Caenorhabditis elegans: one gene and its partner. The protein of the gene in region 1 interacts with the protein of each later gene in a pairwise test. Each region holds a gene or a part of one and is shown on either strand. Other genes may lie near its edges.

Region 1 (7,957 bases):
ATTTACCTCAGTAATTTTAGTACTCTTCTTCTCCTTCTTCTACTTTTTTCTCTTCTTTAACATCTTCCTTTTCCTCTCCAATATACTTTAACATCATCAACACAAAAAACGTTTAGTCGTCTCTTCATCCTCCTTCTCTCTTCCTCATTTTTTCCAACTTGTTGTTCTTCTTCTGATTCCTCCATTTATTTTCCGTTTGCGTGTGTTTTAATTGCGGGAGACCCCCCTCAGTCTCTCTACTCACCCGTTTATGGAGTCTCGGTTGGATTGAGAGGAGGAACATAGTTTTGACTATTCTCGTTTATTTTACCTCTTTTTCCATCTTCTTTTCCGATTTATTTCCACTTTTTAATGCAATCCTTGCGGACATTCGAAAGCCTAACTACCATTACAACTAAGATTTCAAAGGTCCGTTTTTATTTTATATTCTTTTCTTCTTTTTTTTAAACAATTATCTTCAAACTTCAGTTTTTTCTTCAATATCTCTATTTTTCTTCATTTTTCTACATTCATTCATTTTCTTTTCACCCACTTCAAACAAATAGAGCAAAAATGTATGAGAACAATTTCCTCTCGTTCTGCTAAAATTGAAAATGTTTCAAAACTTTTTTCTTCCATCGTTTCCCTCCGTCTTTTATTACCCTCTGACTCATTCATCCGATATCCTCAAATGTTTCGAAATGTTTTTTCTTGGTATTTGTCTTGTAAAACGTCTACTGTAGTGTTGACTTTCCAATGGTTTTTTTTTTCGAAAAAGGTTTTGAAAATACAATTCCCACTTGTTGCGAATTGAAACATCTGTTCAGATATTTTTGCAAAAAAAACGAGTTCAAAGCAATACAGTCCAATTCCAATCCAACTTAACGATGTTTCAAATTAGGTAATGTTCTGCGATGGAATAATTTCTGCTAGATTGCAGTTTTTCATTACCCTCAACAGGCACATAAAATGCATGCCTACAAGGCAAATACGTTTTCCAAAAAAAAAGTTTTTACAAAAAAAAATCTACCTGATAAAAATAACTTTTCAAAAGCCTCAGCAAACGCAGATCTCATAGTCAACACACAAAACAATGTAACGGCTTCAGGTTGCAATTTTTTGCGGCAAAATTTTAGGTCTTTTTTTTTGCTTTTCAAAAAAACTATTGGTTGATATTTATTTACTTGTGTTTTAAATTGAAGTATTTGCACTAAAAAATTTTAAAAATGGAAATACATTTTAATTAGGCGTAGGTCACTTTAAAGACAAGTTGAAAGCGCCTTGTAGGTGTCGGCAAAAATATTTGTGCCTGCATAGAAGATTTATGATTTTCCATTTTACAATTTTTATGCATTAAGCTTAAACATGTGTTTTTTAATTCTAAATTTTCTTTTTGTCAGTGGTCAAATATTCTAGACAGCTACTGGTCAGTCTTTAATAAAATTATCAATTTCCTATTTTTCGTAGAGTTCAATAAATCTTGCCTCTCTGCATCTTGCTCGCCGCATCAATTTCCGGTGCAAAATACTATAATTATCGTCCGGAATGTCCCCCATCCTCCTCTTCAATTTTCCTCTCTAACATCTCCTTCTTGATGTTGATGATGCGTTCGTCTGTCAACCGTGTCGCCGCACGAATCATCATCATCCTTACGCTTCCATTCATTCTCAGTATTTCAGGTGTTTCATGTCCTGACATGCGGCCGTTACAAGCCGTTTTATCATTGTGTCTGGTGACCATTGCTGGGAGCACAAACGTCTTTCAAGGTAACAAATGAGGGTCTTGAGGTAGATATCACATTAGGGTGTTAGAAATTCCTTGTTCAAAATGCGAGCAATTCGTTTCCATTTGCCTCGTTCACGTTCCCACGTTGTTTGCCGTCTCTTCATCTTCAATTATCCCTCTCACTTTCAACTTGTGATTCAATTAGTTTATTTCTCTATGTCTCCTCTAATCATCACATTATTTTAGCCGTTCTGTGGCTGATTGGGTACGGTAACGAAGCAGAACGAAGGCGATTCCCATCACTTCTTTTCTTCCAAATTATAGTTGTGACACTTGGCGCCCGCACAGAAAATTGATGAGTGTCGAGGGGTTTTGCTAGAAGATTTACTTGCTTTCTTACTCGCTACTTTTGAATACTATTTACGCAACCAAAAAGAGGATTATCTGAGGGCGGCAAAATTGTTGCGAAAAAGAAGTTCCTGAGGCTCATACTTTCTTGGAGAAAAGAGCACAAAAGAAATTACTCGGGGAATAATTTTCTGTTTTGTATGTTGCGTCGACAAGTGCAAAAAAACGAATACGGATGTCCTATTGTTGCAAGAAAAGAGTACATTCTGCTCTCATTTCTCAGTAGGGGGTTGCCGTAGTCAACACTTGAATCTAATTAATTTTCGTGGTGGGTTACATGCCAAACAAATTATTGAACATAGAATGTCATCTGGCGAGAATAAGAAATGGAAACTACTAATATCTTATTAGATAGCTGGACGAATTCAGAGAAAGGGGAACAGGTATCAGAGAATCCGCACAAAATTGAATGCATGTTCACCAAGGCCTAAATACATTAAATTTTTATGACGTGGAACAACCAAAAGATAGTTCAAGATCATCTCATTAACTTTTTATGGCTGAACAATAAAGCAAAGAACAACTGACTCACTCAGTCACCACAATCACTTTTTTTAGGGTCATGCGCGGCAGAACACGTGCTCTGTGAGCAACTGTGTGAAGCACTCTCTCCAGAAACATATGAATGTTCTTGTTGGGAAGGGCACGTACTACAGGATGATGGATTATCATGTAGAGTTGATACAGATGTACAATACTCTGAAGAGAAGAAGGAAATAACAAAGAAAAGGACGAGAAAGCTGGAAACCAGCACATTTCCTATCAGAAAACTGACCATTGAAAATAAGAAGAAGATCACAAATTCACCTAAACCATTGGCTTTTAAAGGATCGAATTATGCAGAGTTTGCAATCAAAGATGATACATATTTAGAGACAAATATCACTATTCAATTCAAGTAAGCGCTTTTATAAATACTTTTCAAAAAACGATTGGCATTTCAGACTTGATGAGCATAAAGATGGAATTATTTTCTTTGCTGGAGAATTGATGGGTGATGATTTCCTATCAATTACTCTAGATGGACCAAATGTTATCATGAGGTATGTATTTTTGGTATTTGAGTAACTTGATAACAAAGAGAAATTGTTTTAAAAAATACATCGAAAGCACATGTAGTTCACAATTTTAGCGAAATTATTGTCAGTATTATGAAAAAGAAAAAAAATAAAAGATCTTCTCTTTGATAAAACTTTACGAAATTAATTTCAAATTTTATTCAGACATGACTGTGGAGAAGGTACAATTGAAGACATGTATCATGGAAAATTCGCAATCGGAGAATGGCATGAGATCAACGTGTGGAGGAAAAATTGTGATTTGACTGAAATAATTGTTGATGGTGGTCACAAATTAGTTGATCACGCTGATGAATTTAAGGTTTGTATTCAACTTCTTAACCTCACAAAATCCCAATATTTGAATTCAGAATTACAAAGGGATCACAATGGACGAAGGCGTGTTCCTTGGCGCTGCTCCCCACAACATTGAATTCCTCCAGCAAAAGACAGGAGCTTTTGAAGGATTTCGAGGATGTGTTCGATTGGTGCGTAAGCTTGAAAAACAAGAGAAATTCGTTTATCTTGACGGAAATGTTTTGCAAGTGGACAATCCAATAAATGTTTTTCTTACAGCTTGTCGTCAACGGAGAAGTACTTCTAAACACCAATGAAACCATCAATAAAGCCTTAGATTCATCTGTCAATTGTAAAAAAATCTGAAATTTTTCATTTAAAAACGTTGAAATTATAGATTATTGTGGAGAAGAGGAACCAAAGTTGGAGAAGAAGAAAAGGAAGATTATAAAAGTGATGACAGGAGACAAGGAAAACGATAATGAAGAAAGTGATGACATTATTCAAATTGAAATGTTCGATCTCACACAAAGAGGAATTCCGAAAATCCTAGAGACTCCGGGAAGTAAGTGAGCGTTATGAAATAAATCCACCACTGCGAATTCTTTTAAAAATTATCGAAAGTTGTGAATGCGCTAGATGAAAAGTTTCGCGTGTGGTAAGACCAAAAGATTGTTTGAGTGAAAAATCACACTTTTTCTTGGAAATGTTCGTGCTTTTAAGAAAACATTATTTCGTTTATTCCTGTAACTTGTTAGCTTTTTAAGATTTTAGCGGAAGTTGTGTGAGTTTAGGAAACCATTTCTCTAGAGATTTTTGACTTTTTTTTGGAACACCGCAACCAAATTCCAAACCAAAACACTCAAAAGTGCGTTTCTTTTTTCTTCGAATTTCTTCTAATGCCGCCTGCTCAAATCCAAAATGGGCGGGGCCGTCGGCGGCATTTTGAAGCTGTGAGCGTGAGCAGAGCAGGAGCACACGAAAGTTCCTCGCTGTGCTCATTCCTTCTCACTTCATTATGATTCTACCGTGCCTACTCTTGTTATATGGGGTGCGTGTAGGCATATCGATGCCATTCGACTACTATGGGATGTTCATTGAGCAAATGCTCGCTGATCAGTTATCTGAAATTGTAAAGAATAACAAGACATCAATTACAGTGCATATGTCAACTCAATCCCCAACGAGTCTTCCATTGGGACATCCTATTCTCAAAGAAATTATTGTTCAGCAAGGTTAGTTTCTCCAAAATTCATTGCGATGAACTGAAAAGTTCAAAAATTTCAAAATATGGCCCTACTTCACACTGTTATAAAAAAAAAAAGAGCAACTTGCAAGTCTCTTTTGACCTCTGAAACTCCCGGCAACGTCTCTGACGTCACGCTTGGTTCTCTAAAGAAACTGCACCAAAAATTATCGTGACGGCGCATTTCTGAAAACAAGGAGCCGCGGGTTACCTGAAATGAAAGAAATCCCAGATATTATCCGTTAAAAAAATTATTATTTGAAAAGGTCCTTTTTATATTGTTAAGTAATACTGCTATTCCAAAAAATGAATTTATTTGTCTAGACTATTTTACTATTTTGACGGAAACCGGGCCACATTTTCTCAGTTCCTTTGCCCCATAATTTTCTAACCTTTTTCTCAGAATTGCCTTTTTCACTCCCTCGTTCTCGTTATTGTCTTTTTTCCTAACGCCACTCATTCCATTTGGCTCCAAACGACTTTTTGCTGCATAAAACTTAAAAGTGACTGCCCTGTTCTCTTCCAAAAAAAAATGAAGCGCCTAATCTTTTTCCCGTTTATTTTTTTGGAAGAAAAAGGCGAGGAGACCTTCTTGAAATATGCATAACAAACACGAAATGTCACGCATCGCCGCGATATGAGTGACACATTTTGGAAAGAGAAGAACAAGAAGAATAATGACAAAAAATGAGAATGAGAAATATGAGAGCATTGTTTTATGAATACTAGGATATGAGGTCCCATATGTTAATTAGTAAGATCCTAGAATGAGCACACCAAAAATAAATTAAAAAAAAGTATACACCTGGAATTGAGCAGAGATATTCTAGCTTAACTTTTTTCGGATTTTATTTTAACGTTCATGGTGCCTAACAGCGTACTTATTGATAAGGCATATATTAACGTTTTTTTAATCAATTAAATGAACTTTCAATCATGACGCAACCTTCTGATTTCTAGTGCCATCTGCCTCTATCTTTTTTACGTACTAAGATATTTTATTCAGAACATGTAACAACTACACCTGCTCCATCAAGTACGTCGACAAAAAGCTCCATAACCTGGAAAGTTGCACATTTTAATGGAAATTCTAATGTAATTGTTCCGGCTCCTGATAGCATTCTCAGCTATTTGGAACTCTCAATCCAATTTAAAACTGAGAAACCATCTGGTGTACTTTTCTTTTGGAAAGAGGATTCCAAATTTTTGATTGTCACGGTTGAGAATTCATTTATCAAAGTTTATGCAAGTCTTGGAGTTGATGCAACTATTTTGAGGTTTCAGAAATAATGTTAGAACATTGATAATTGGAATTTTCAGATCAGAGAACGCTGTGAGTTTGTATCACTGGCATAAATTGGAAGTCTGGAGAAGTGGAAAAGGGGTTCTGCTAAAAGTTAATAAACAAGGATGGGTGGAGTCAGAATTGCATGCTTCAAAATTAGAAATTATTGAAGAAACTGGAAATATATTTATTGGATCACTTGATGATAATGATATTCCATCAGTTGTTAAGGATATTGAAGGATTTGCAGGATGTGTCAAGAGGGTTGGTTTTAAAACAGAATACCAGTTTTAATTACATATACATTTTCTAGATCCGTCTGAATGGAAAAGCCATATTGATGCAGTCAACATATGCCACGAATGTGACTGAATGTTTCCAAGATCCTTGCTCCACGTTCGGATGTCCAAACAAGTGTCTTGCACACAATTCAATGCCAGTGTGTCAATGTGAATGGCCAATGAGCGGAAGAAAATGTTCAGTGACTTCGGAATCTGAAATTTCTGCAATGAAGTTTTCTGGATTATCTTATTTGGAACTTGACAATGAAGCTGTTATGAGCCAGTAAGTTCTTTATTTTAAATTACAACGGAAAACCATTCTACTTTCAGCATCACTGGAGATAGTCTCGATATGGCTGTCAACTTCAAAATCCAAAACACAACGCAAACTGTTCGCCAGATTGTAATTTCCGCTGGTGATATTACCCATGAAGATGACTTCTTTGAACTATCAATTGACACAAATCGATTTGTCCGATTTGCATTAAATCTCGGTTCAGGAACAATTGTATTAACACACCCAAAACGAATTGAAGATGAAAGATGGATTACTGTAGAAGTGATTCGAAAAAGGAATTTGGTGAAATTATCAGTTAATGGAGAGGATCCAATTACTGGATTTGCTCCAGAAGGTGCTGAGCAATTGAATGTGTATCGAAATATTTTTATTGGTAAGTTGTATTTCAAATAATAAGCTTCAATATTTTTCAACAATAAAGGGAATTAAAAATCTTTCATGATGCAAATTTGATCGCAAAACATTTATTAAAAAAACATTTTTATTTATATTCAAAAATGTGCGATTTTTGAATGGTTGGAACATGCAGAAGTGCTCGAAGTTTTACAAAATGTTCATATTTTTTGAAATTTCGGACCTTTTACCAAAACTGAAAATATGAGAATATCTAAATATAGTTGGAGTTTTTAATTATGATATTTGGTCATTGATATGAGGCACAGAACGGTGTCTTCAAGGCATCTTGAATATTTCCCTTCAAACAGTTCAAATGAGTTCCCGATTGTTTCAATTTCAGGTAACAATTTTACACCAGACGGATCACCAGATGGTCGGGACTTTACGGGACTTGATGGATGCATTATTTCGCTTCGATTCGATCAGACAACCATTTCTCACCCAAAACAAGCAAAAACAGCCATCAATATCCAGGACTGTGCAATTTAATCAATTCACTGGTAGTCGAATATAAATAAAAATTTGCTGTTTCCGTTGAAATAAGAATGACTATGCCGGTTGTTCCGTATACGCATAAGTTATTTGTTCTGTATTTAGCATGTTGTCCCTTTTCTTACAATCACCCATATTACTTTTACATTTCAACGTTTTGAACGATTAAAAATGAAATAAAAAACTATTAAAATATTTTTTGTTTTCAACTTCAGTAATAAAATGTTTATTGTTCAGATTATGTATCAACAGAGAAGAAAAACAAAAAAATAAAACAAAATTTAAGATTAAAGCTCTTCAGGTTGTGAGTTGTGTCTCATGCAAATTTAGGCAACCTTGCATGTTGATGTGTACGTTGTACATGCTGAAAATCAATGTTTTTGCTTAAATATAATTGAAAAAGGATTATATATATATATATATATATATATATATATATATATATATATATATATATTCTGGACAGTATTGTCATACTAAATTTAAATATAA
Region 2 (4,889 bases), on another chromosome or scaffold:
GGATTTTAGACGCAGGCTTCTAAACTGGATTCGCATGGTTAAGAGTGTGCTGAGGACAGCTTGGCACCCTAGTTTAGGAAATTATAATAAATTTTTAATTAAGCTCAGAATTTAGTAGATAATTTTTATGAAAATCCGAAATTTAACCGAGTTAGGGGAGTTTTTTTTAGAAACTCAACACATAATTCAAGTAAGGTATAAATAACAAAATTTTCGACTCACTATCAGAAAATAGTTCTTCTATGTACATATATTTGTAACTGTGCTAAATAGATAGGTTGACAGGTAATTGACATTCGACCTGTATCAAGTAACGAGTTTACCTGGAAATTTCTATACAGATTGCCTAAACGGAATGTATACCCCTATACCTATACACAATTGTCCCTTGCATACATGGACGATAAATCATTTATACCCGAGTAGGAGAAAAAAAATGGGAAACGGGTTTTGTTTATGGTCAGGGAGGAATTAGACAATGTTTAAAATATAAACAAAAAGAAACATACTCTGTGTAAGGAGACGGAGAGAAGTTGCCACGTGCATCCACTCGGGTTGTACATCTGGAATATAGGTGATTAGGTGATTTTTAGGTTTTAGAAAAAGATTTTTGAAATGAATATCGTAGGTACAGAGACGTTAGTATACTGGTCTGAAAGAGCAAGAAATTTCCTATTTTTTGGCTAGGACACTTTCTTGCTACTTAATTATAAACAATCAAAAATAGGTGATTTTTAGGTTTTAGAAAAACTGCACAGAAATTGCCGTAATTTTAGATTTAAAACAGTTAGTTTTGTTAATTATGTTGCAACTAAACCAAAGTATAGAAAAAGCATTTGCTAATTGTAAGCTTAACTTTTTAAACTGGTCAAAAGTTTTGGACCGCAGCTACTACATAGAAACCGTACCATTATTATCAATTTCCTAAAAAATCCAATTTTTTATATTAAGAAAACGACTACTTATTTTATAACGGTGAAACTAAAACCACAAACAGTATTTGCCTATACATACAAATTTTTAAATTGTTATTCCTGAAACTTATAAAATAATATGAAAATTCACTATAAGATGCAGAAAAACATTTTTGGCAACTGTTGTTCATGAATGTAAATTACCGCTAAACTTTGCCGAATCAAAAATGGTGAAAGACTAATTTTTCATAACTTCTTGGAAAATAATAAATCAACTATATAGATATAGCATTTGTTAGATACCAATTTAAAAAGTTTCTCTTTTTTGATCTACCCCAAATTATGAGTAATTTAAAACCATATATGTAATGCTATCAATTTTTCCTATAGGTGATAAATTACAGTACCCATACAGCCTAAGAATTCTAAAATCTATTGTAATTTTTCTCATAACTAGGCTACCAGTAGACATCAAAAGTCAAATAAGCGACACACGAGTTGAATAGAAACAAAAAGAGTCTTCTCTCTCTCTCTCTCTTCTAAGAAGGGCATGATATCAATGTCTGGTTAAAACTGGGAAAAGGGGGTCCCTCGGGAAGTTGTGTGGAAGAAGAAAGAAGAAGAAGAAGAGGCTCTTTTTCTTTTTCATACACACACATTTCTCATTTACACTATGTTGAAAAACGAGAAAAAAGTGGATGGGAGGAGAATGAGAAAAGTGTCTCTTTTATTTTTGACCTGACTCTCATATTATTAGACGTTTTGTTTCAGGGGTAGTAAACGCGTTTTGAATGGTTTTCTATCTTTTGGCATTAATTTTTCGCGGTTTTCAAAGAAAGTGTGAGCATGTTCAGTTTTTGCTAGTGGAACAAGCATCGCGACAAAAATGGACAAAATCGTTCAACTATGTAAAAACCTTAATTTAAAGTTGCTTTTAACCCTATACGTTATACCGTTAAAACATACATCTTAAAGGTGGAGTAGTGCCAGTGGGGAAGTTGTTAAAAACCAAAAGTCCCAAAATGATCTAATATCATAATAAAACTTTTCAAAAAATTTTTGAAAATTTTTTATTTATTGTCAAAAAGTGGTGACAATTACTGAGTTTTTGCCACTCATAATTTTGGAAGTCGACCAAAAAAAAATTGTTTTTCTACATTTTTAATTCTGTAATCTTGTTTTAATTATTCGTATTAAAACATTGTAGGGGTCGAAACATGCGGCATACCTTTGGACTTTTTTTCAAAAGCTCTGATTTTTCAAAGTTTTGGCAATATGCCAAAACTTAGGCCGGAAATTATGAAAAATCTAAAATTGTGTTATATTATGATATTTGGTCGTTTTGGATCATAATAAGTGTACTTAGACAATATCCCCACCTTTAAAACGTTATACCTTATTACGAAAAATATACTATGTATAGCCTTAACTTAACGTTACGTTTTAACTTTTTTTAAAAATATTACACGATACTTTATAACCTTTATTTTAAAAACTAACGTTATAATTCGTTACACATGTAAAAACGTTGTTTTAATATGATCGTTCAATTAAAATTTTAACGTTTTTTTAATATATGATACTATAACCTTAACCTTTTAATCTTGTTGATAACGTATAATTTATAACATTTGAAATCAGGCTAAATCTATATTATAGTGTGTAATAAAACGTTGTAACGTATAACAAAGGACATAGCGTTACAGTTAGTTATAGCTTTGATTTTGAAAACGTATCGAAATATTGTAGTGTGAAAGCTCAAATAAATTCTTAAAATTGTACGTGATGACGGTATAACAGCTACCTTATTTAAATACATTTATGACGTCACAACAGTATTAAAATACATGCTTACAGCGGTAACGTTCATTTTCTAAACTTTTTAATTTTCCGACACTACTTGAAAAACATCATTATATTGCTATATCCAACAAAAAAATTGTTAGAATTTGGTATAAAGCTTTAATTTTTTTTTTAGAAACAAACAAAAATACTAACCTCTTCCTCATCCTGATCGACAGGCTCATGTTCCTCCTCAATACAAGAAGACGTACTTGACATGGAGGTCTTGTACCATGATGGGTCCTCTGACATTCTGGAATATAAAAGTTGTTATATACAAAAAGAAAATAATCAAAAATCACAGGGTAAATAGAGGCTAATCGTATATACAAATAGAAGCGGAAAAAGCAATGAAGTTCAGTTTGTTTCTTATGCTTTTTGAAGACTGCGGTTTTTTTTTTAAATTTTGTTATAAAAATTAATATTTTAACTCAAAGAACAATTGAAAACGTTTTAAAGTTCAATTTCAACAGAAATAATAAGAATAACCAGAAAATTCTAATTTATAAGGACAAGTTTTCAATTTTTTAAAGTAACATCGAAAAAAACTGTATAGAAGTAGTAATTAGTATGAAAATTGAAACTTCTTATTGAGAAAAAGTTATAATAGGTCAACTTTTAAATTTAATAATAGTAAAAAAGCCCCGTTTAAAGCGGTTACATTATGAACAAATTAAATTTTAACAAACTCAAATAAAACAAGTTCTATTTAAGTAGTTATCACAGTACTTAAACAATTATAAATTCCAAAGAAATATTGATTTTATAGGAAAATCCTGAACTTTTCCCATACAAAACCCTGCAAAATCCAATAAACAACCTTGAAAAGTTGTTAGTTTAAACGGGGAAAATGTCGTCAAATGGTGTGTTATTCCATTCAATACATACGCATATATCGGGTACGCAGACATTGAATTTGACGACATATTGGTAGGCAGAAGGGTAGGAGAATGGGGAAAAGGGGTCATGTAAAGGAAATTGAATTTGGGATGCGTGGAATTTGGAGTAATTTTGGGGTTTTCTGGGGGGATGGGGAATTGAATTTTTGAATAGTATCGGAGTAATTAGAGATATGAGAGAAGAAAAATAGTAATTGTTTGGAAAATGTGTGTAGTCTTAAATTCAAATTCCATGCAATTGAGTTAGTCAAAAAAAGGAAGTGTATGAATGTTATCATACGTTATAATACATATATGTACATAAATTATATATACCGTACATTCCCTATTAGTATGGCCCCCCGTCAATCGACTTTGTCGGCTCATATTTCAACGGTTTAAAAATATTTTTGATACCTTCAAAAACCAAAGCATAACGATAGATTTGAAAAAAATTGTGTCGTTTGAATTTTGAATTTTTGAAATATGATCAAAGACAACCGAGATATAAACGTACTAAAAAGGGAATATATGGTAAAATTCCATGGTGTGTTATAGAATTCGGTATATATATAATTATATAGGTATATAGATATATAGAATTAAGTACCTATGTATATCGGTTCTAGTTAGCTATTTCTAATTAATAATTATTACAGTCTTGAACGAAAGTTTCAAAACTGTGAGGTATTAGACTTTGTCACTTTTATGCTTTTGTCAAACCAAAGTCAGATGGTTCAATAACCTATTTTCCCAAGACAGTGTATCATATAAGCTTGAAATACAGTCTAAAACATCGATTTCAGAACAAAAAATGGACAAGTCTTGTTTGGTGATTGGCACAAAACACTTCAGCTCAAAAACTCATAAACTGGAAAAAAGTTGATTAGTTTTTTTTTGCAGAATGTAATTTTTGAGCTTGCCGTTGTAGTTTAGAGGCTTATACACATTATTGGGGGATACGAAGCTAACCATTCAGTTTTTAGACATGGTGCATTGATCAACCAACTAAATCAGTTAATTAACTAGAAAAAGACATGTACGTTTTCTGAATAGACACATACATTGAACTACATATGCTTCAAATACGCCTAGCTGAGGAAACAACATGAACCTTTAAACTACAGTTCGTAGTACTTTTTTAAACCTGACCAATCAATCATTGAACATGGTGCATTGGTATATCAACTTTTCAAAAATGCATAACTAGACTAGTATCTATGTGTAATAGAAACGTAGATACTAGTCTATTAGT

Evidence for each region.
Region 2: the proteins of T19D12.6 (region 1) and zoo-1 interact in a two-hybrid assay, tested with the Caenorhabditis elegans proteins (one large-scale study listed by BioGRID).

Annotation. Positions count from the first base shown.
Region 1 is NC_003280.10:6,636,819-6,644,775, reverse strand, and holds T19D12.6 (Laminin G domain-containing protein), read left to right. Parts: upstream 1-1,658; 5' UTR 1,659-1,675; coding exon 1,676-1,745; intron 1,746-2,670; coding exon 2,671-3,010; intron 3,011-3,056; coding exon 3,057-3,155; intron 3,156-3,335; coding exon 3,336-3,492; intron 3,493-3,541; coding exon 3,542-3,658; intron 3,659-3,746; coding exon 3,747-3,819; intron 3,820-3,864; coding exon 3,865-4,032; intron 4,033-4,627; coding exon 4,628-4,702; intron 4,703-5,284; exon of another isoform or gene 5,285-5,367; intron 5,368-5,719; coding exon 5,720-5,990; intron 5,991-6,033; coding exon 6,034-6,262; intron 6,263-6,311; coding exon 6,312-6,562; intron 6,563-6,609; coding exon 6,610-6,950; intron 6,951-7,013; exon of another isoform or gene 7,014-7,163; intron 7,164-7,313; coding exon 7,314-7,462; 3' UTR 7,463-7,703; downstream 7,704-7,957. Other genes in the region: T19D12.4 (VWFA domain-containing protein), read right to left, coding at 7,792-7,829.
Region 2 is NC_003279.8:14,527,651-14,532,539, reverse strand, and holds the start of zoo-1 (Tight junction protein ZO-1), read right to left. Parts: upstream 3,012-4,889; 5' UTR 3,009-3,011; coding exon 2,913-3,008; intron 1,609-2,912; exon of another isoform or gene 1,560-1,608; intron 564-1,559; coding exon 510-563; intron 1-509.